2 linked regions of the Caenorhabditis elegans genome follow. The protein of the gene in region 1 purifies or fractionates together with the protein of each later gene. This does not show direct contact. Each region holds a gene or a part of one and is shown on either strand. Other genes may lie near its edges.

Region 1 (10,514 bases):
GAATTGCGAATTGATCACGTTCTACCAGAACTATATTCAGAGCGAATAGTAATACAACGAGCAGTGCAAGTTTTGTAGATGTTAGTTTGAGGTACCATTTCTCAAAAGTTTCAAATATAAGGGCAGCCAGTAGAATTGAGATGAGCAATGCAGCAACAAGCACTGAAAAAAAGATGAAAGTTGAACGTTTTACTATTGTTTTATCTAATCCTAAGCGTTTGTTACACGACAAGGAGTTCCGTTATTGCCATTTAGACTTACATAGCTTGTTGCCTTCGTAAGTGAGCTTCCAGTAGGAATAAATAGGCCAGTGAATTAGATAAAGTGAATATGAGATATCTCCAATGTAGGTTAACACTCTATTTGACAGAACTGCATTATCTTCAGATATAAGCATTAAACATCCCGTCCCAATAGTCACAAGTGGTCTGCAAATGTTTATATACATAGGACAGAATAATAACGAAATTAAACTTTCTTATTGCCAGAAATATTAAATTATACTGACGGCTGCTTAAGCCATGTACAAAACTATTAGAAAAAAGAGGTTGTACCTTATAACTGACGCATCTAATGAGGTTGGAAGTAAAGTTATGAGGACTAGGCCGGTTAATAGCAAATATGCGATGATCGTTGTAGGATCACAACGCTCAGAATGCGTGTTGGATTTACTGCTAACATATTTGCTGTCGTCATCAGTGAGCAAGCTCTCAAAAGCTTCTGTCTCTTTTGTAAGCTCGACGTATTTCACACCTCTTTGCTGCTCAGAATAATCAAGTAGATACACAATTATTCCTGAAAATTTCTACCTATCAAAAATTTTGGAAAAAACACGCAACTAACCAATTGAAAACTGCCAAATCCTCGCAAAAACGCTATTGAATGCTACCGATTGAGGGGATGAGAAGAAAAAAGAATATGACACAATTCCTGGAATTCAGCTTTGTTATAGAAGGTATAAGATTATATATAATATATAAGACTATAAATATATAAGACTAGTCTTGGCTAAAAAAACAAAAATAAAAATCTTGGATTTTCGGTAGAATTTTCATAGCATTCGATAGGAATTTTTTTAAATGTAATATTATGGGTACATTTTTGGACCTGGAAATTCAATTTCAGCCGCTCTTGAAGGTGCCTATATAAATATATATATAAGTATGTATACGTATATATAAGTATATATATATATACTATATATAAGGTACCTATAAAACCAACCTATAAATGCGTAGTACCCATTTTCAAATTTTGATGGCAATTTTGTGGCTAACAGGAAGATGAAAGGAATTAAAAAGTAAAATTGAATTTCAACTGACAACGACCAGGTATGAGTGAATATGTCTATTGCTTTTGTGAGCTGGAATTATAGGATGTATCAATCAAATCGGAATTATATACCATCATAAAGTAATCCTGTGCTTCTGTTTTTGGAGTATTTGACACAAACAATAGAGCCCGTATCGCAGATTCCTGATTTGTTTCAACTACGATGTCCGGGAAAAATGAATAGAGACAAATCATGGAACAAAATATGATTAGTAGTAAAGTGGTAGAATTCTTTTAAATCTTTTGCTATAGAATATAGTTATCAGAGTACATGGTGGCTCCTTCTCAGCTCTCTTTAATAGCATACACATAAGAAATCCAGATAATACAAAGAATCTGAAAATAATAATTATAGTTTCATAAATTAGAAAAATTGGTACACTTACTGATCAACACCTAAATATCCATTTGGAAAAGTGTCAGGGTAAAAATGGAAACCGAGAACTGCAATTATAGCCAAACCACGTATACCTTGTAGGTCAAATCTTTTTTGTGATGGTTTTATTGGCGAGTAACCCATCTGAAATTTTCTATGTTATTTTGAGATGAAAATAGAAATTTAAGAAATTAAAAGTGAACACGGAAACTGAAACATATATGTTTGTGTTATGAACTCACAATAAAACGAAACACAAATTGAATATACCTCCCTACATAAAAAAAAACGGAACATACATGTCTCTATAGAATCAGGTTGAGTTATGCGTGGAAAATAAATCGTTGAAAAAAAAGAAAAAATGCCAATTGTCCGAATAAGAAACTCTTTCAATGTTTGCTCTTCAGATTAAAAAGTGAGCCACGGTTGATAAAACGAGAGTCCAAATATTTCAGTCGTTTTAAAACAAGAAGTTTGAATTCTCTAGTGCACTTAATGTTCACCAAATTCAAATAAAAAGCACAAATTTCATCCCGTTTCTTGAAAACCTTCACAACTATCCAATAGTTAATTTCATTCCTAAGAATGCAATAAATTTTTCCTCTATCAGCACACAACAGTACACATTTCACACCCTTTTAGAAATTGCTTCAGGAAATCATTCAAAAAAGTGATGACCGCGAGTTTGCAAGCATGTTTATTTTGAAAAATACATGATATTGCAAAATAAATAGCTGGAAGCATTATGAAATAAATATAAAATCGGAATAGGGCAAATTCATTTATTCGAGACCATTTATTACACTACCCATATAAAATTTAAATACTGAAAACCAAAGGACATTTATTAAAATTCAAATTCAACAAATGTAATGCTGCTTTTCAACGTTTATAGATTAAGGTTATACTATAAAAAGAACCATAAAAATAATCGCAAAGAGCACCTCCATACCAAAGAATTCACTATTTTTCCATAGGTTCCTTTTTATCAGTGGAAAATGAGTCGTAAAAGTAAAGGAAGTGTTGTAGAAGTGAACTACGTTTTAACTAATAGGCATGGATATGAATAAAAATAAAACGATCAGAATGACTTTATATGTTAACCAGCGTTGATAAAACAGCAGTGCAAATATTTCCAGTTGTTTTAAAACAAGAATTTTGAATTATACAATGTATTAAACATTCACCAGATTTAAATAAAAAGTAAAAATTTCATTCAGTTTCTTGAAAACCTTCACAATTGTTTCACATATTTATAAAAATGCAATAAATGTTTCCTCTATCAAAACACAAAATTTTTGTTTATAGACATTTCACACCCTTTTAGAAATGCCTTCAGGTAACCATTCAAAACGGTGCAGACAACAAGTTTGTAAGCATTTGAAAAGTATACAAAAACACGATGAAAGGATTATGAAATCAAAAAATCAAACAAAAATCGTGGGTTTTCGAGTTTGAAGTACTCTCAAGTTGAGATGTGGTTGCCATTAGCATTAGCAACACTCAGATGATCTTCATGTGATTCGTTGTTCAAATCTGAATATTCATTTTTCCAAGAAAATCACTTCATATATTTGAGACCATTTATTAATACTACCTATAACAAAGTTTAAATACTGAAAACTCTAATACTTCAGGATCATCATAGTTTCGCACAAACATCCGTCCAAATGTGTCCCAACAAGTTTACTGATGTGTCTGAGACAAAACATACCATTTTTGCAGAAATAATTTTCTTCGCCAAGTTGCATATTTGCGGATTATTTACAAAATTCTAGCTTAAATAGAAGATCCGTCCAATTTCAACGAATTCTTTCCTGTATTTCCGGCTTTGCCTTTGCTTTTCTTTGTTTTTGAAATGAGATCTAAGCCAATTTAAACACTTTCAATTTAAACGGACATTTCGCAAAAAGTCTGTGTAAACACTACAAAAATCACAAAAATCTCTACCACTCCCAAAAAAAAAATCAAAATAAAAACGCTAAAAATAGAATGAACGCCACCCTCAGTAGGTAAACAATACAGTACTCTTTTCATACAAATTAGGACTTATTTTAAAATCAAGTTATAGACAACGGGAATACATAGAATACTTGGCATTCACTTTAAGCTTTCACCAACTTTTTATCACGCGGCGCTGTGTAAAATGAAGATCAATTTTTGAAGTTTCAAAAAAATAATTTTTTTTCAGTTGTAATTAAGTTTCGAATTTCAAAGTTGCCTAGTGCAATAATCGTTGGTAAGATGGTAAGATAGGTTGCGCTAGAAAACTCAAAGTTTTGTCTGACGTGGTATAAACTTGGTTAGAAATCTAATGAATGCTAAAATTAAAAAAAAGCTTTATGTACTCCAGTTGTCTTTAACAAATTGCTGATTTTATTCCAAAATTGTCCCAATTTGCATTAAAAGACTACTGTATTGTCTACCTATCGGCTGCTGGGGGTGGCGTTCTTTTTTTGAACCATTTTGATTCTGCTTCACTAAGCTGGTAGAGATCTTTGTAGTGTTTACACAGGCAACATGACCTTTTAAATTCGAGCGCAAGTTGAGGTAGGCCTATTTTTAAGGGTGAAGATTACATGAGGGTCCTACCACAACTTGATGATTATGGTATAATTATCCCCGCAAATATCTATGAAAAGCTTCATGGACTACCATCATGACATCTGACAAAATACATTGACTGTAACAAAACCACGACATACAAACAAAAAACAGCTACACTTGGCAAGTCGGAACCACTTCTTCACAAACTTTAGCCACGTGGAAAAGTTGGTTAAAATTGGTCGAAGTTGGTTAATTTGGGCAGTATTTTCACGCTCTGAACAACTGGAAAAAACTTGGTGAGAGTTGACGAAGATTGGCGAAAGTTGGTTAAGAAGTGAACAAAGTTGGTTAGAATACAGAAAAATTTGTTTGGAAAATAGTTGAAATCTAATGAATGTTAGAAAGTGGCTAAAATTGGTTGAGAAGTGGCCACGAATTGCTGAGTACGTGAACCATTTAAACTGTTATACAGTCACCGTCTTCCTAGTAGTTTGATATACTTCAAACAACTGTTCTGATAGTGAGATACAGTTAAAGACAATGATCCTTATAGACAATAAATGAAAATTTCCGCCACAGATGACTAAACTACGTGTAAAATTATTGGCCAGTGATGTTTAGAATGTTTGAACAACTGTTAGGATGTTAATTTTCGAGTCGAATCGGATAATTTATGTAGAAACTGAGCAAGAGTAAATAAAAAGGTCCATTGTTTGATTCCTAGAATTTTCGAATAAAAAGAGGAGAGCTATGGGTGAGGTGCACAATTGAGAGAAGCTCTTGCAAAAAAATGTCATCCCTAGGCTCCACAACTTCTTCTTCCACTCCATCAAGCCAAACTTCTGAACTATGCGCTGTTTGTGGTGGGAAAGCGAGTAGCAGTCGGTATGGAGCCTTGTCTTGTATCGGATGTCTTGTATTCTTCCGAAGAATGACTTGCGGCGAGAAAAAGTGGTATTGCCTGCGGAATCGGAATTGCGAGATCAATATAGGTAACTATTTACATAAGAGTTTTGAAGCGCAATAACAACCAATCGGTGTTCTTTAGCTACAAGAAACACATGCCGTGCATGCCGACTTCAGAAATGCCTGAACGTAGGAATGAATCCAAATGGTTAGTTTTATATTAAATCTAGCCAACAAGGCCAATTTTCAGCCATTCAGCGACGGGACGAAATTGGGCCGAGAAAACCGAAGGTTTCTAAGGTAAGAAACTTGAGTGGTTTGTTGCAACTACAACAAAACCACTAAATGCAGCATCGGCTAACTTGCGCTCAAAATTTTAGTTTTTCGGGAGAAACACAGAACAATGTGAGTTGCCAATCTTACTAACGATAAGAGCATAGTAACGAGATTCAGCAGTGACTCGAAACCAGGGGAAGGCGCAATCAAACTTTTGGCAATTTCGGCAATTGCTGCCGATTGCCAAAAAATTGCCGGAAATCAGAACTGCCGGAAAAATAAATTTGATAATTTTTGTAGATTTAAGAGCATATACAAATTTTATCTTTTCATATTTAAAATCATTGAATCCTTGCTGGATTGAACGCTTTCTGTTAGAAAATGACTAATCGAATACTGAAAAACAAGGTGAAACATTTTCAATTTCCGAAACATAACATTCCGCAATTGCCGGAGTTGCCGATTGCCCGAAAAATTTTTGTTTGGCAACTGTAAAAATTTCCGATTGCCACACACCCCTGCTTGTGTAGTAATTTTACTGTAGAACACCAACTGATATCTTCAAATTGAATTCCTTCAAACTATTACACAAAAATAAAAGGGATGTAATTTATACTGAAACATTCACTTCATAGCATACTCCTGCAACTTAATAAAAACATTTATATAACTTTGTAAAAAGCTGTTAAGAATTTGCGAAAACCGACGGGATTGTGAGCGAAATTTAGCTTTACATCTGCTAAGAAATTGCAAAAGTCGTCTGAAAAGCTGCAGAAGTTTGCTTAAAAGCTAAAATGCCTAATTGTTGTTAAGAAGTTGCAAGAGTATGCTATGAATTTAGGCCGTTTTGCCGAGATGGTCGAGTAGCGCCAGTGGGGATTTTGTCTAAATGCACTTATAATGATCCAAAACAACGGAATATCATAATAAAACACTCAAAAAAATTTAGATTTTTCATAATTTCCGCTGAAAGTTTTAGCAAATTGCCGAAATTTTGAAAAATACGAGCTTTTGAGGAAATTTAAACCAATCTCGCATGTTCCGGCCCCTACAATGTTTTAATACATTTAATTAAAACATAATTAAAACATAAAAAATGTCGAAAAAAACATTTTTTTTTTTGGTCGGCTTCCAAAATTATGAGTGTCAAAATCTGAGTAATTGCCACTTTTTGACAGTAAATAAAAAGTTTTCAAAATTGTATTGAAAAGTTTTATCATGATATTTGGTCATTTTGGGACCAAAGGAGTAGTTTTAAACAATTTCCCCACTGGCGCTACTCCACCTTTGGTGTATAATTTTCAATCGGTATGCTTTAATTCTGCAAAAACCACTGCTTCAGTTCAGCCAAAAGCAATATAACGCTGCAACCTCGAGCGAATGTGCAATGTGCCTACATATAGGATTTCAAAATGCATTGGAATGGGCAAATCAACTCGAGTCTTTTTCAATGTTAAGCCATGTAGACAAGCAGAATATTTTATCAGAATATGGTATTGCATTCACACTTATTGATCAAGGTTACAAGACGGCACGCGATGCTGATGAACAATGCTGGTTACTTCAGAATGGCAGTGTGCTGCATTGTGAGCAACTTTTCAACAGTTCTGAGTGAGTTCTTGAATTGAATATACTTTTAGTCTGAAGTTTTTCAGTGCTGACTTGGTCAACCAGTTGATTGCAAATATCAGTCAGCCATTGAAACGTCTAGAACTAGATGAATATGAATGTGGCCTGCTGAAATCATTGCTTCTGCTGTCTTGTTAGTTTTTTTTCTAAATTTAATGAGTACTTAACTTATTTTTTTGCTGATTCCAGCCTCGTTTCCTGGCGAAGTGCAACTAAACTCACAGCAATCTCGAGCAAAATGTTTAACAGAAATGCTACAACACAGAAATGATCCAGAACGGTTTGGAGAAATTATTTTACTAATCGGTTCAATTAGAAGTTCAGTTAAATTATTTTATAACCAAACGAAACGTTCAGACCTTTTCAATGTTCTCAATTTTAGTTATTTTGTTAGGAATAATATGGCTTGTTGAACTTGTTAACTTGATTTATGTATTTTAAAAATGTCGAAATTGAGAGTAAACAACTACACTGCAACTTATTTTTTGAACGAGGGACGAGGAAAAGCGGTTTCTAAAAAATTGCTCATCTGTAAACGTTTACGCATTGTGTTTGAATATGTTGTGATTTAATCTTTCTCGAGTTTATAACAATCAAAACACTCACTAATATTAATGAAAATTACATTTACTGCTGTAGTCGATAATAGTCTTTTTGAATGTTAGAACTGATCTTTTCACCTAGATCCCATTTAATACGTTAATACACTTCTTACAATTTCACTGATTAGCAAAAGTCACGGAGAATTGTACATAAACATGGGCCAGTTTGTGATTCTGATAAATAGTCACAAGTTCAAATGAAACTTTACAAATTGTCCCAAATTATTCAATTGCGAGTTTGAACCTGAAAAGTCTAAGTTTTCCAACAATTTCTACAAAATTCCAGCCTACCTCTTCACTTTCCACAGAATTTGGGTGTAGTATGGGATGCAACAACTGCATTTGTCATAAAGATAAACTGTGGGGAACACTTAAACCTTTACTGGTAGTCAGCGAGTGTCACTGATTTTTGCTAACGCGTATCAGTGGTAGTTGCGATCCACCAGCTTTAGTTTCTCGTTTATTTTAAAAGTAGTCCCCTCGAATGTTCTTCTCGTTTTACCGTTTCCCGTTTTCTGATTATTCTGGCAGTGCGATTAGTCGCTATTCTCGTGCTGTATCTTCAAGAGGATTCTCGGATTCAATGGATTGGTAGCTAACACTCGGGAAGCTTAGGAGCACATTTGCAAGTCGAGCGACGATGGATTCGGTGGAAAGTAAGGTCAGTTTAGTGAAGGTCGGCTGAAGTTAGGGGTAGTACACCTGACGTACTGGTAAGAGAACCATCTATCTTATAAGCACGACACCGCTGTAGGGTCACATCGAATGCTTTCCCTGCCTCCTCAGGGGAAGTATTCACACATCTGGATTTCGTAACTTCGTCGGGGAGTGTTAAAATCAAATATGTTTAGCACTCTGGGGTCAAAATTTAACAATTTTCGCTCATTATGTTTACCTCTTATTTTAGGAAAAACTTTTAATAAAATGTTGCAGACGGGTTTGAGTAGTGTCTCATTTTTCAAGACCGATTAGCCACAAATCAGGATTTCGAGCTCCAACTCAAATTCACTTTCCAACCGTCTCCGCACGGGTTCTCCTCTATTAAAAATAGTGTTTCGTGCTCATGGATGCAGTAGTGGCAGACTGGCAAATCCGCCGAGCTGAATTTCCTTCCTGAAGAAGACCGGTATGCAGTGGAGCGAACTCAGATGGAGATTGGTTGTGCTTCAACGTGGCATTTGGCTGAAGCGGCGTCGGTGATGATTAACGAGTTGGTCAGAGTTTCGCATAAAGGATTTGGAGAGTCAGGTAACTGAAGGTTTCGGTTGTTTTTGAAAATTTCTAGTGAGGCTTGTGAGAGTCTCACTCTGCGGACTCAATTCCGTGCATTTTATAATTGGTGTTAGAGGTGGAGGAAAATTTGTTAATTCCTGAAGCGCAGGTGGCGCAGAAGGAGGTGAGATGATCGAGGAGTCCTCGAGAAATCAATCGTTGCAAAAGCAGCAAAACCGAGTACCGCGTCGGATGGGGCGTGTCAGCATAAGAGGAGTATGTTTGACAGCAGGTAGCTCGATGGGAAAATAATTAAAAATCATCGTGAGAGATGAGTTCACGGGTTTCGAATGCAATAATTTCGTTACTGATGTGAGTCCGTTGTCAGTAGCGGAAAAATTCCAGTTTATATTCATCTTGTTCAGACAATCGATAAGTTTGTTCAAGAAGGTCGCAAGAGATGATGATACAGGTAGAGAAATGAGATTTCTCAAGTGTCCTTTGGGAGACCCAAGAGTGGCGAAAATCAGGATGTATTTCTACAAGAAATTCGGTGAGCAATCGAGGAGCTCATACGATCGGAGGTCGGTCGTGGAAGAGGATGCGGGACGGAACAACAAGTTCACATGAAGATCAAGACAAGTGGCAGTCGAGGATCGGGTCCAGAGCATCAAGAAGACGGAAAGTCGATGGTCAATGGCTAGCGGAGGAACGCAGGAAGAATCTAAGATTCTAATGTAAGTATTTCATTCAAAATATTGCGGTATCATGACCGTGCCTTTATTCGTGAAGCCAGTTGACAAAGTGAAAACTGATATAATGTGTCAGTGTGTGATTTTAAAATCGATACAGCGTCTGTAACGCTGTAAAAGAATCCAGTATGGATTGGGCAATTATTTTTGCCGTACCTGACTTTGGAAAGTCTTGCTGATCGCCAACGGAGGATCCAAGAGCATCGGATGTGGCGAGTCAGCGTAATGCAGTTCAGCATATTTGATTGTGGAAGCGGAAGAAGAAAGACGTCATCCTGTCGAGTAAGGTAAATTTTTGTTTGTTTTCTTCCTCCCGGTCTCAGAACCGGTTTTATTTTCCACATTAATCATACATTTTCGAGACAGAAATTTTTCCGTTAAGAAAGGTGATTGAAAACCATTGAGGTTCAACATTTTGAACGCAAATCTTTGAAGAATTTTAGAAATTTTTTTTTTCTGATCGAAGAAGTTCGAGGTGGCTGGGAGGATGCACATGAAGATCCCAGCGGAGATTTTCGAGCAAATATCAAGGAGATGCTCTTGTGTCGATGACTGAGGACGATGCAGCAGCATTCAAAGGAGAATCGAGATCGAAGTTTTCGAGATTTAAGGAATGAGGTTTCTATGGAAACGAGCGGAAGAGTGAAATAAAGCTGATACTGAAGAGTGCGCCAATGGTTCAACCGATCGATTATTTGGAACAAAAAGGACGTGGTTCTGATGGTCGATGCGAAATTCGAGAGAGAAGACAATTGGTTCGGATCTCAAACAGTTGCATGGCTCCGAACGCAAGGATTTTAGTGTCAAATCCAACGAATGACGAAGAAGACGCTGCAGAGGACGAAGAAGAAGGCCCAGACAACGTCGTCAGCCAGTCGATCG
Region 2 (11,577 bases), on another chromosome or scaffold:
GTAGGTTACTAATATGTGAAGCTTTTAAAAACTCCATAAATTTTGTGAACTCCACAGCTAGGATCAAGGGTGCCGATTTATCGTTTTTCAGGAAAACATTTTTTTGTTTACATTTTTTTAAAAAGTTGCGGGTTTTCTCGTTTTAGAATAAATTCATGTTTCCTTAATTTTTTTTTCATCAACACAAAAAATTGATTATTAAACATTTTCTTAAAAAATTTTCCGATTTTTCGTTTTTCAGGAAAATCGAAATTTTTTCGCTTTTCCGATATTTCGAAAAATATTTCATTTTTAGAGTTTATCTTCTTTTTAGAAGAAAATTATGTTTTCTTATGATTTTTCCCATCAACAAAACAATAATTTTTTGAAACTGATTTTTCTTTGTTAACTTTCTAAATTTTTTTATTTTTCAGGAAAATCGAACAATCGAAAATTGTTCATTTTTCATGATACCCTAAAAATATAAAGTTTGATCGATATAATCTATTTCAATCTTATGAAAATTTTTAAAATAAACTGACCAGAATCGGATGTTGCTTCGGTAGCTGAGAGGTTCCATTGTTCTTCCTCATCGACTTCATCATCACTATCTTCTTCAATCGTTGTTACTACCCATTGTTTTCCAACCAATTTTTCATTGCACTTGAAATTTTCAAGGGCTTTCATACTACTTTGATACATTTCCAATGCCGAATTATGCTCGTTAGTCATCAAATCCTCAGCAGGAGAAACACCATCCGAGAAGGAATACTTTCCAAAACCAACAGAGAATAAACTTTGATTTTCCATATCAAATCCAGAAGACTTGTAGTTTGATATTGGTCTAGAAATCTGGCTGCAGCGAGTTTCAGAGTTACAGCGAGCAAAATCATATTGTATCAGAGCCGTGAAGTACGTGAATTTCTTGTATGAAACCAGTTTTTGAAGCTGTTTGAGAATGAAAATATGTTCATCGCAAGGTTTTTCAGCATACTTTGAAGCGTCACGTGGGTTCAGAATGAGTTTTCCGTCCGGTAAGATCTCAATCAACGTTTCAGTGTTAAGCTCTGGTTGTGTGACATACTGCAATTTTTTAATTGAAGGCAAAATTTGATGTTCAAACAAATTTACGTTGAAAATCGCCGTCCGAATCGCGTATACTTCGTTAAAATGAACGTTGAATGACCGAAGGGATTGAAGAATACAAGCTAAAACGTCGTTGGCAGTATTCGTGATATGAACCCTTAAGAATATTGTTTAAATTTGGCCAAATTCAGAGTTATTACCATTGAATCAGAAGTTGAATAATCCATGATTTTTCTTCCATAGGCAACGGTTCTGCGACCATTGCAATCATTGATTGGCATGAAATGTGTGCCATATCGTCGTCCTTCATTGTATGGCTTCTCAGTGACTCGATAATTTTTTTCGCGAGGGGTTCGATTCCATCCTTGCTTTGATAATACTGAGTTATGTGGCTGAGAAGAACTCCTCCTCCTCGCGGACGAGGCAAATAGTCTTGCATTGAAAGTTCGTTGAGAGCATGAATTGCGTCCAGTACACTAATATTCATTTCTGAAAAAATTAATTAAATTGTAAATTAAATATGCCAAAAGATAAACGAACGTTTAAGTTTAAAAAGGTCTCCAGATTAATTAGGGAAACTATTTTCAGAAAGAAAAATTCTGAAGGTTCCACAAAGTATTACTGGTATGGCAAAAAGTGCGATGCAAGGATACTGAAATTGTATTCAGAAAATCCCAAATTGAGTTTTTAAAAGGCTCATACGAGCAGCATAGGACAAGGGTCTCGCCACGTTCGTCCTCTACAGTACTCCCGCGCGGCAAATTTCAAATCTTTTGCGCGCGAGTTTCTGAGTTTCCATTCATTTAAAATTTTTTGGTTTGCAAACGCCAAACTTGTACTTTTTCCTGGAAGTTCGAAGATGTCTGACGATTGGGATAATAATACTGCTGCAGGTTTTTATAAAATTTTAATGAAATATTTAATGCTGATTTATTGTAGCGAAAACCATCAGTTTTGGAAGCAATCCATCAGGGTTTGGCGGAGGATCGGGATTCGGTAGCGGTAACACTGGTGGTTTTGGAAGTGGAAATGCAGGCGGGACGGGATTTGGTAGTAGCAACAATGGTGGATCTGGATTCGGCGGTAATAACAACGTTGGACCCAGATTCGGCAATGGAAATGCTGGTGGAACTGGATTCGGCAGTGGAAATGCTGGTGGAACTGGATTCGGCAGTGGAAATGCTGGTGGAACTGGATTCGGCAGTGGAAATGCTGGTGGAACTGGGTTCGGCAGCGGAAATGCTGGTGGAACTGGATTCGGCGGTGGAAATGCTGGTGGAACTGGATTCGGCAGTGGAAATGCTGGTGGAACTGGATTGGGCAGTGGAAATGCTGGTGGAACTGGATTCGGCAGTGGAAATGCTGGTGGAACTGGATTCGGCAGTGGAAATGCTGGTGGAACTGGATTCGGCAGTGGAAAAGCTGGTGGAACTGGATTCGGCAGTGGAAAAGCTGGTGGAACTGGATTTGGCGGTAATAGCAACAGTGGATCTGGTTTTGGTAGCGGATTGACCAATGGATTTGGTAGTGGCAACAATCATGAATCTGGGTTTGGTGGAGGAAAATCAGGAGGTTTCGGTGGAGGCAACTCTGGTGGAAGTGGCTTCGGTTCAGGAGGTAACTCGAATGGATTCGGAAGTGGTGGTGGGGGACAAGATCGAGGCGAAAGGAATAATAGTATGTTTGCTACTTGAAATCTATATCTTCACGTTGCTTTTAGATTGTTTCAATTGCCAGCAGCCAGGACATCGATCGAATGACTGTCCAGAGCCGAAAAAGGAAAGGGAACCCAGAGGTTTTAGCTTAAAATGTTTTTAGACGTAATCTGTTTTATTTTTAGTGTGTTACAATTGCCAGCAGCCTGGTCACAACTCTCGCGATTGTCCAGAAGAGCGGAAACCGCGTGAAGGCCGAAATGGATTCACCGGTGGAAGCTCTGGTTTCGGAGGAGGAAATGGTGGTGGAACTGGATTCGACAGTGGATTAACTAACGGATTTGGTAGTGGTAACAATGGTGAATCTGGCTTCGGTTCGGGAGGTTTTGGTGGTAACTCGAATGGATTCGGAAGCGGCGGTGGGGGACAAGATCGAGGCGAAAGGAATAATAGTATGTTTGCTGCTTGAAATCTATCTCTTCACGTTGCTTATAGATTGTTTCAATTGTCAGCAGCCAGGACATCGATCGAATGACTGTCCAGAGCCGAAAAAGGAAAGGGAACCCAGAGGTTTTAGTTTAAAATAATTTTTAGACGTAATTTTTCATTTTTAGTGTGCTACAATTGTCAACAGCCCGGTCACAACTCTCGCGATTGTCCGGAAGAGCGGAAACCGCGTGAAGGCCGCAATGGATTCACCTCTGGTTTCGGAGGAGGAAATGATGGTGGATTCGGTGGCGGAAATGCTGAAGGCTTCGGTAATAACGAGGAACGTGGTCCGATGAAATGCTTCAACTGTAAAGGCGAGGGGCATCGCTCTGCAGAATGTCCGGAGCCACCACGTGGATGTTTCAATTGTGGCGAGCAAGGTCATCGCTCGAATGAGTGTCCCAATCCAGCCAAGCCAAGGGAAGGTGCTGAAGGAGAAGGACCGAAGGCGACATACGTTCCAGTCGAAGACAACATGGAAGAAGTTTTTAACATGCAGAAAATTTCGGAAGGTCTCATGTTCAACAAGTTTTTTGATGCTGAAGTTAAAATCACGTCTGATAAAAAACCCGTTGGAGTTAAGACTTGTAAGACGTTCTCCGAAGCTAATCTGGGCGAAACAATGAAGAAGAATGTCGCACATGCAGGCTACACTAAGACCACTCCAATTCAACAATATACTCTTCCACTTATTCATCAAGGACATGATATCATGGCTTGTGCTCAAACTGGTTCAGGAAAAACCGCTGCATTCCTTCTGCCAATCATGGCTCGTCTGATTGATGAAAATGATCTGAACACTGCCGGAGAAGGAGGTTGCTATCCCCGTTGCATCATCCTGACTCCGACTCGTGAACTCACTGATCAAATTTACAACGAGGGAAGAAAGTTTGCTTATCAAACAATGATGGAGATCAGACCAGTTTACGGAGGATTGGCAGTGGGTTATAATAAGGGTCAGATCGAAAAAGGAGCCACGATCATTGTCGGAACTGTCGGAAGAATCAAGCACTTCTGTGAAGAGGGTACCATCAAGCTTGACAAATGCCGCTTCTTTGTTCTTGACGAGGCTGATCGTATGATCGATGCTATGGGATTCGGAACTGACATCGATACAATTGTCAATTATGAGAGCATGCCGAAGAAAGAAAATCGTCAGACACTCATGTTCAGTGCTACTTTCCCCGATTCTGTACAGGAAGCAGCTCGAAATCATCTGAAGGAAGGCTACATAATGCTTGCAATCGACAAAATTGGGGCCGCCAACAAGTGCGTCCTTCAGGAGTTTGAAAAGTGCGATAGAAGCGAAAAGAAGGACAAACTTCTGGAAATTCTAGGAATTGATATCGACAGTTACACGACAGAAAAAAGTGTGATTCTGTTTTTTTTATCGTTTATATATATCCCAATTTTCAGATTCTGAAGTGTACACTAAGAAGACTATCGTTTTTGTCTCGCAAAGAGCAATGGCTGATACGTTGGCCTCCATTTTATCATCGGCTCAAGTACCAGCAATCACGGTTGGTACAATAGTTTAACCATTATTAATTTTGTTTTCCAATTTAGATCCACGGTGCCCGTGAGCAGAGAGAGCGTTCAGAGGCTTTGAGACAATTCCGAAATGGATCGAAACCTGTTCTTATTGCTACTGCGGTTGCCGAACGTGGACTTGATATCAAAGGAGTGGATCATGTCATCAACTATGACATGCCAGACAACATTGATGACTACATTCATCGTATTGGAAGGTTAAATCAGATATTTCTAATGTTCATGTGCTAGCCATGTTTTTTTTAGAACGGGTCGAGTTGGAAACGCTGGAAGAGCCACCAGTTTCATCTCTGAAGATTGTAATCTTCTGTCCGAACTTGTTCGCGTTCTCTCTGACGCGGATCAACTGGTTCCAGAGTGGATGCAAGGAGCTTCAGGGGGAAATTTCGGAGCTAGTTTTGGATTCGAAAGCAGCGTTCCAACTCAAAAGCAAGATGAAGATTGCTGGTAGATGTATCTGCATATCCTTCAAATGTTGTCCATATTGTATCAGTAAATTATAATGCCCCCTTTTTATATATTCTCCTTATCATGTAAATGTTCTATTGATTTTTTGCTGGTGTAAAACGTTTTTATAGTAAATCCTCTCCACAGTGAATTTGTTAAATTGTATCAAAACAAGACATTGATTAAATTTGTTCGAGACTTGTGGATTGTAAAATATTTTGCAGAAAATGGCAATATTCATTTAGAAACATTACTTCCATAATAGGAAAAACTATTTATGAGTTTTCATGTGCCTATGCAAGTTCCCACTCTGTGTGAATTTCATCATACAAATTGAGCAAACATAAGGTTTATGTCCAGTATGGGTTCTCAGATGTTTTGTAAGAGTTGAGCTGTCGGTGAATGCCTTCTCACATTGAGCACATGGATACGGTCTCTCTCCAGTGTGTGTTCTGAAATAATGAAAAATAGTCTTGCAATATGTTTCTACTATTCGAGAAAAAATGTAATTTTTTTTCTTATGGTAACCTGCAATTTATATATTTTTTATTTGCCGTTATTGACATTATTATAAGAAATTGGAGGATATCACAAATATCGTAAATTCTCCAAAATTTTGACACTTCACTTTAAAGACAAATGCGGTTTTTCCGAGTGTGTCTCGCCACGATCTCAGTCATAATGGTCGCTACAGGTGCCAAACTTTAGGCATTTGTTATATTTGATGCAGAAAACCAAGCACATGAAAATTAAAATTGTCAAGTAGACAATGAAATCCAGACATTGTTATGATTCATTTTTTTGCGAATTCTCATAGACTCTATCCATCCAAACCTCTAAATCAATTTTCTTTAGTTCTTATAAAAATTCTTAATCCGGGCAGGGAAATGGAGAGGTATCATAATATTGTCATTTAGTGAATCCCTACAATTATCCAAATAAAAATTGGGATTAAGCTCAGCTGGGTGGCAGAAAGGAGCAGACAGGTGTGTGGGGATAGTAATGGACCCTTCCTCTAATACCTTCGATGAGTAACAAGAGAAGAACTTTGAGAAAATGGACGATTACATACAGGACACATAAATGGTTTTTCTCCTGAAAAAGTTATGAATTATTTGCAGTAAACTGATTGAAACTTCTCAACCTGTATGAATTCTTTTGTGAGCTGTTAGATTAGCTGCTTGAGAGAATGCTTTTCCACAAGTTTGACATCTGAAAGGTTTTGGTGTAGATCTTGCCATTGGTCGTTGTACTGGAAGAGGTTCTTTCTTTGGAAGGCGAAGAGATGGAGTTGGATCCATATAACAGAGACCGGATGGAGGGATCTGACTGAAATTAATGACAATTTTGGAATTCCTTTTATTCTTATTTGTCAATATGTAGTTATGTTTTAAATCTGAATAAAACTTATAATTAGGACGTTTAATATACAGCCCATTCGATTTTTCACAAAAAATATATGTTTGCAATTTTCCTCTCGGAAACACGGAAGCCGATCAAAGGCCTGCAAGTGATACGGTAACTCGCTCCCCGTTTTTTTTTTTCGATTTTTCACTTTTTCTCCTCAAAAACCATATTTGATGGAAATCTTAATACACATGAAATGTAAAAGATAAAACGCGGAAGAGTGGGTTACTGTAGCCTCGGTTTCCCAATATTCTATTCGTAACGAGAGCAGGTGCTGTTTTTTTTTTCTGAGGAACATCGATTCAAGAGTCTATCTCGTAACATCTGCAAAAAGTGTAAAAACAAACCGAAAAGAGTCTGTAGTTATATGATTTGATGTCATCATTTGTTGATTATTTCGAATATTTCCATCATTCGTTGCACCATGACTCATGGTTAATGTCCCATTCTCCATTTCCAACTGATTTCCAATCGACCATGACGACGTGGAATTCCAATCATGCTGTCGCCATCCTCCATATGCTCTAAAATGAAAAGCAACCCTTCAAGTGCAATAATTCATTTTTTCTATTGTAAGTCATCATCTTCTTCCTCATTTAGTCTCTAATTCCTCTAGTTTTTCTCTAATATTTCACATGTATGGGATCTTCTTTTTTCGGATTCCAGAAGCACTTGGGGTCCCACAGCTTCTTCACAAAAGAGCTTCTTGCATCAAATGAAACACTTTTGAATCCCTATTTCTGGTTAGGTTTCTTTTCTTTTTTCTGTGCTCCCAAACAAATCATTCTATTCGTTTAGACACTACTCGTCACGTTTATTTCCCTTTTTAAATGAAGTAGATATCTTATATTTATCACTTTTAAACCAATGCTTTGGTAATTACCGTTTCGCAGTTTTGTGAAAAGTCTACTTAAAGGCGCATGGTTCTCTTCAGATGGGTCTCACCACGACAAAAATTATTCGTACCTGTTTGTGAATCTTTTCAGGAGTAACAATTTATTTTATTTTTTATGTAACGATTTATAAACATCAAATAATAATGCGAAATTTTTTTATGGCACATCACAGAAAATTTGAACTTTACAATATAAATATCTTTTATCACTTCTTTCAAAAATATGTCAGATTATTTTTTTTTTCAATTTTTGCATTAAATATCAATATATTAAATTCACAATTTGGTATGCCCAATTATTTTTTATATCTAAATAGATATTCTAAAAGGTAGTCCTAACAGTTAATTGGAAAATCTATTAGATTAGCACTAGTTGAGTTCTTACCCATGATCACTTCCATTTTGTCCCTGAATAATTCCATTTTCAGTTTGTTGCAATGCTTGTTGAGTAGTTCCAGATGATGGCATTGATGACGTGCTATCAGATGCATAAAAATCTTGATATCCATGATGCATTTGCATCTGGAATTTTGATTAAAAAATTATTGGTTTTCGCAAAAAAATGGTTCAATTTATTTTTATTCATACTCCTTGATCGAAGCAATCTCTTCTATTTTAAGAAATTAGATCATATCAAAATATTGTCAACTACAACATAAAGATGAGTTGTTCTGTAGCTGACACTTCTTTGATGCTAGAGTCAAGTTCAAGACAAATTTTTTTTACTCAATATTAGAGAAGTAGCATGTACTTCAATAACAGGTTTTATTTTCAATTTCGTATTTCTATTAAAATGCTAACTATCAGTTGAAAATTAAATAGACTATACAAAATTTCACTTGTTTAATAATGTGAAGTTTATTATTTTCATAATTGTATTTTTTTTTTCTTGTTTTAAACTATCAAATATTAAGCATAATATTTAAAATACAAATTCTAGAGCCGTCAAAGTAGAGCAATGGTGGGCAACATTAATAGACGGTTTATTTAAATGAAAAAACAAAACTTTTCACCTAGTAATTTTTATATGAAACAAAATACTGTTGAGATATGAACTGTTTGAAATTTGAAAAATTATCGTACTTAATCTGAAAAGAAAGAGAAAACAGATTTCTAATCAATTTATAGTAACTTAATGGGTTCCCTATAGTTCAAATATTTATTGAATCGGGAAAACTTTTTCGGTTTAAAAAAATCCAAATTACCTGCGGAATATAATTCGCCGAATCGAAGAAATCGGTGTTATTATTATTCATTTGATAATGATAAGACATTATTTATTTCAATTAAAACAAGAGTTTAAAACTCAATTAATGATTTGCTTAGAAAAAATAAAATAAAAAGAGACTGAGATAATAACAGGTTGTACAGTAATCCTCTGAAGCTCCACCCTCTTTATTTTTGTGATGTTTTTGGCAGGAAGAGCAGGTGAGATTCGATGATGAGCTGAAGAAGAAGAGAAATTGGGAGAGAAGAGATTTTAATCCGAATACCGTAGTTTCTTCTTATCTATGAAAATTGTGGCTTCACTTACTAACAACTTCCTACACATTCTGATTCCTTATTTTTCAATTTTAGAGAACAATTTTGTTAGTTTTTTAGTTGTATAGTCATTGAAATTATTTTTTATTAGTTCTTTGGAATCAGTTGTCAAAGATTAATAATCATATCAAAACATATTAATTTATAGATCGGCGTGCCTGTTAGACATCAACGTAAAACTGACGATATATGGCCTTTTGAGGCCTTTTTAGGAGGAGTTTCTGATCGAGCGAGACTCGTACAGCATAACCTAGAGACCATGCAACACGAGAAAGTGGTGATTGTTCTTTGGCAATCTCTGTGATATTTCCTCTTCTCCTGAGAAGTATTACAGAAATAGGTTTAAGGTAGTTCCATTTCATACAGGTATACAAAAAAGTGCGAGCCCTTGAGTTTTAACCTAAATGCTCACCAGCGGACTCGTCATCCTTTTATTTTCCATTTGCACGTATCAGTTTTGAAATGTATTACTTGTGTTTGAAAACTGACAAAAATATCGGGTCATCAGCAATTCCGGTTACTTTGATCATTTTGACGGCTTGCCGAAAATCGTGAACAACAGTTGAAACGTTTTCGAACGTATAAACCAGAAGCCTAGGGTTGTTTTTTTTCTGAAAATTAATTGCGTATTCAATACTTCATAAATGAAAACTTTATTCAATTATTAAAAAAAAAATATTTTTAGAATTGTGATTCAACCTCATCATTCCGTTCGTTGTTTGATACCAAATGAATTTTGGGTGGACTCTGAAAAAAGGTTAGTGTGGCCATTGCATTATCAATAAGAAAAAATCTTACTTCTAATGCGTATGCCATTATATTAACAGATAGAAGAGGCAAAAGAGCGGTGAAACATGGAACATAATCCTCTGGTTTGTTCTTTAAAATTACAGAACTTAAATTTGAAACTTGATATTCGTAAACTCACAAAAAGAGCGCATATAATAATAATTGGCAACAGAGTGAAAAATCGAATAAGAGCACAACCCATGTTGCTCATAAAATATGGATTGATACGATCGGAACATTGAGGAGATACTGCATCCAAGTACATATTATGAATCATTAATGGACCTATTGATAATGATGTTATTATCACAAAACATAGACATTTCAGAGAAATTGCAAGACGAAGATTTACCTGGAATTAAAAAAATATATAAAAATTGTAAAATAAATCGTTTTTCAGTTCAATTTTTGATTTGAAATCTGTTGTTGAGTTGTTGTAAGTGTTTTTGGATGGAAACCAAGGAAACATTTTTATATAAAAATCCAGTACGGACTATATGAAAAGTGCCAAAGTTTGAGGAAAGTGACAAAAATACCAGTTTTTTAATTTCTAGCAACTGAAGCTTTGTAAAAATATCGGAAGCTTACAATTCCTGCACTCTCTTGATTCAAAAAATATAAACTTCTCAAAATTCCAAATATTATTTTTAAAAGTAATAAAAGGTCTTAACCTCATAAAAAGGGTATTAACGATTGTTCCCATCACAGATGGAAAATTTTTAAAACTTTATTTTCGATTGTTTTTTAAAATCAGGTTTTTCATCAACTCTTTAGCAACATCTTTTGGCAAGAGACTCAAATTTTTTTCAACAATTTACAGCAACCTTTTACACAGATTGATAAAACTGGAAAGTTTAATTTTCTGAATTAAAAATTGGTAATTTATCACTTTGCATGATTGTTAAGAGAGTGGAGTACGGACATTGGGGAAACGATTGAAAACTATTGCGGTGCTATTACGGTGCTCATTTGAGCAAATATCAAAATAAACTTTTTCGAAAAAATTGAAACAATTTTCATTTCGAGTCAAAAAGTGGTGAACACTGTATTTGCGCCACTGTTCGAGAAATTTAAAGCAATTTAGCATCATTGAAATGATTTTAAATCATTTCCCCAAAGTCCGTACTTCAATGAAGTTTTTACCTCAAAACCTTGAACGTTTTTCTTCAACAGAATGACTCCGAGTAGTAGCTGAATTGATATTACAATTGTGGTAAGACCCACTATTATCCATTTTCTTCGATTTGAAATAAATGGTGGAAAGAATTTTTTTAGAAGATGATAAATCAAAGGACATATTGTCGCATAAATTAATAATAAAAGTTGTATTCTATTTGCTTCAACTGAAGCAATTCCAGAATCAATAAGCATTTTTGATAGTTTGGTTGAAATTGTGAAATGTATTAATAAAAGCAGAAGGAATGACACGGTAGTTTGAAATATAGATATTGAATATGAAAAGAATGTTTTTAGAGTTAGAGGCATTGATATATTGGATGATGACATTTTCTATTTGAAAAGAAAAAGAAAAAAAAAAGAAAAATACCACTTAAAGCTTTTCTAAGAAAGTGGATGAGTGGGAGAGAAATGAAGAAAAAAGAAATAAACCACGCCCATCTTTTAGGATTCATTTCATCTTCTTACATTATCTAATTTTTTCGAGCAGAAGAAGGGCAAACATGGAAATGACAAGAGGAAGAAGAAAACGAACAAAAGAATTTGGGCACAATCTCATTA

What was found.
Region 2: the proteins of nhr-242 (region 1) and glh-2 fractionate together in Caenorhabditis elegans (co-fractionation; one large-scale study listed by BioGRID). This does not show direct contact.

What each region holds. Positions count from the first base shown.
Region 1 is NC_003282.8:2,576,115-2,586,628, reverse strand, and holds nhr-242 (Nuclear Hormone Receptor family), read left to right. Parts: upstream 1-5,045; coding exon 5,046-5,247; intron 5,248-5,303; coding exon 5,304-5,369; intron 5,370-5,411; coding exon 5,412-5,461; intron 5,462-6,779; coding exon 6,780-7,048; intron 7,049-7,092; coding exon 7,093-7,199; intron 7,200-7,255; coding exon 7,256-7,479; 3' UTR 7,480-7,697; downstream 7,698-10,514.
Region 2 is NC_003279.8:6,512,097-6,523,673, forward strand, and holds glh-2 (ATP-dependent RNA helicase glh-2), read left to right. Parts: upstream 1-1,831; 5' UTR 1,832-1,924; coding exon 1,925-1,958; intron 1,959-2,004; coding exon 2,005-2,742; intron 2,743-2,785; coding exon 2,786-2,860; intron 2,861-2,905; coding exon 2,906-3,172; intron 3,173-3,215; coding exon 3,216-3,290; intron 3,291-3,334; coding exon 3,335-4,579; intron 4,580-4,625; coding exon 4,626-4,729; intron 4,730-4,775; coding exon 4,776-4,957; intron 4,958-5,006; coding exon 5,007-5,211; 3' UTR 5,212-5,411; downstream 5,412-11,577. Other genes in the region: C55B7.11 (Protein OSCP1), read right to left, coding at 522-1,062, 1,111-1,222, 1,266-1,552; che-1 (C2H2-type domain-containing protein), read right to left, coding at 5,479-5,659, 6,230-6,302, 6,352-6,536, 6,962-7,138, 7,895-8,031, 8,715-8,783; T10E9.5 (Serpentine Receptor, class Z), read right to left, coding at 9,733-9,798, 9,850-9,930, 9,980-10,192, 10,984-11,346. UniProt on the Caenorhabditis elegans protein: Probable ATP-binding RNA helicase.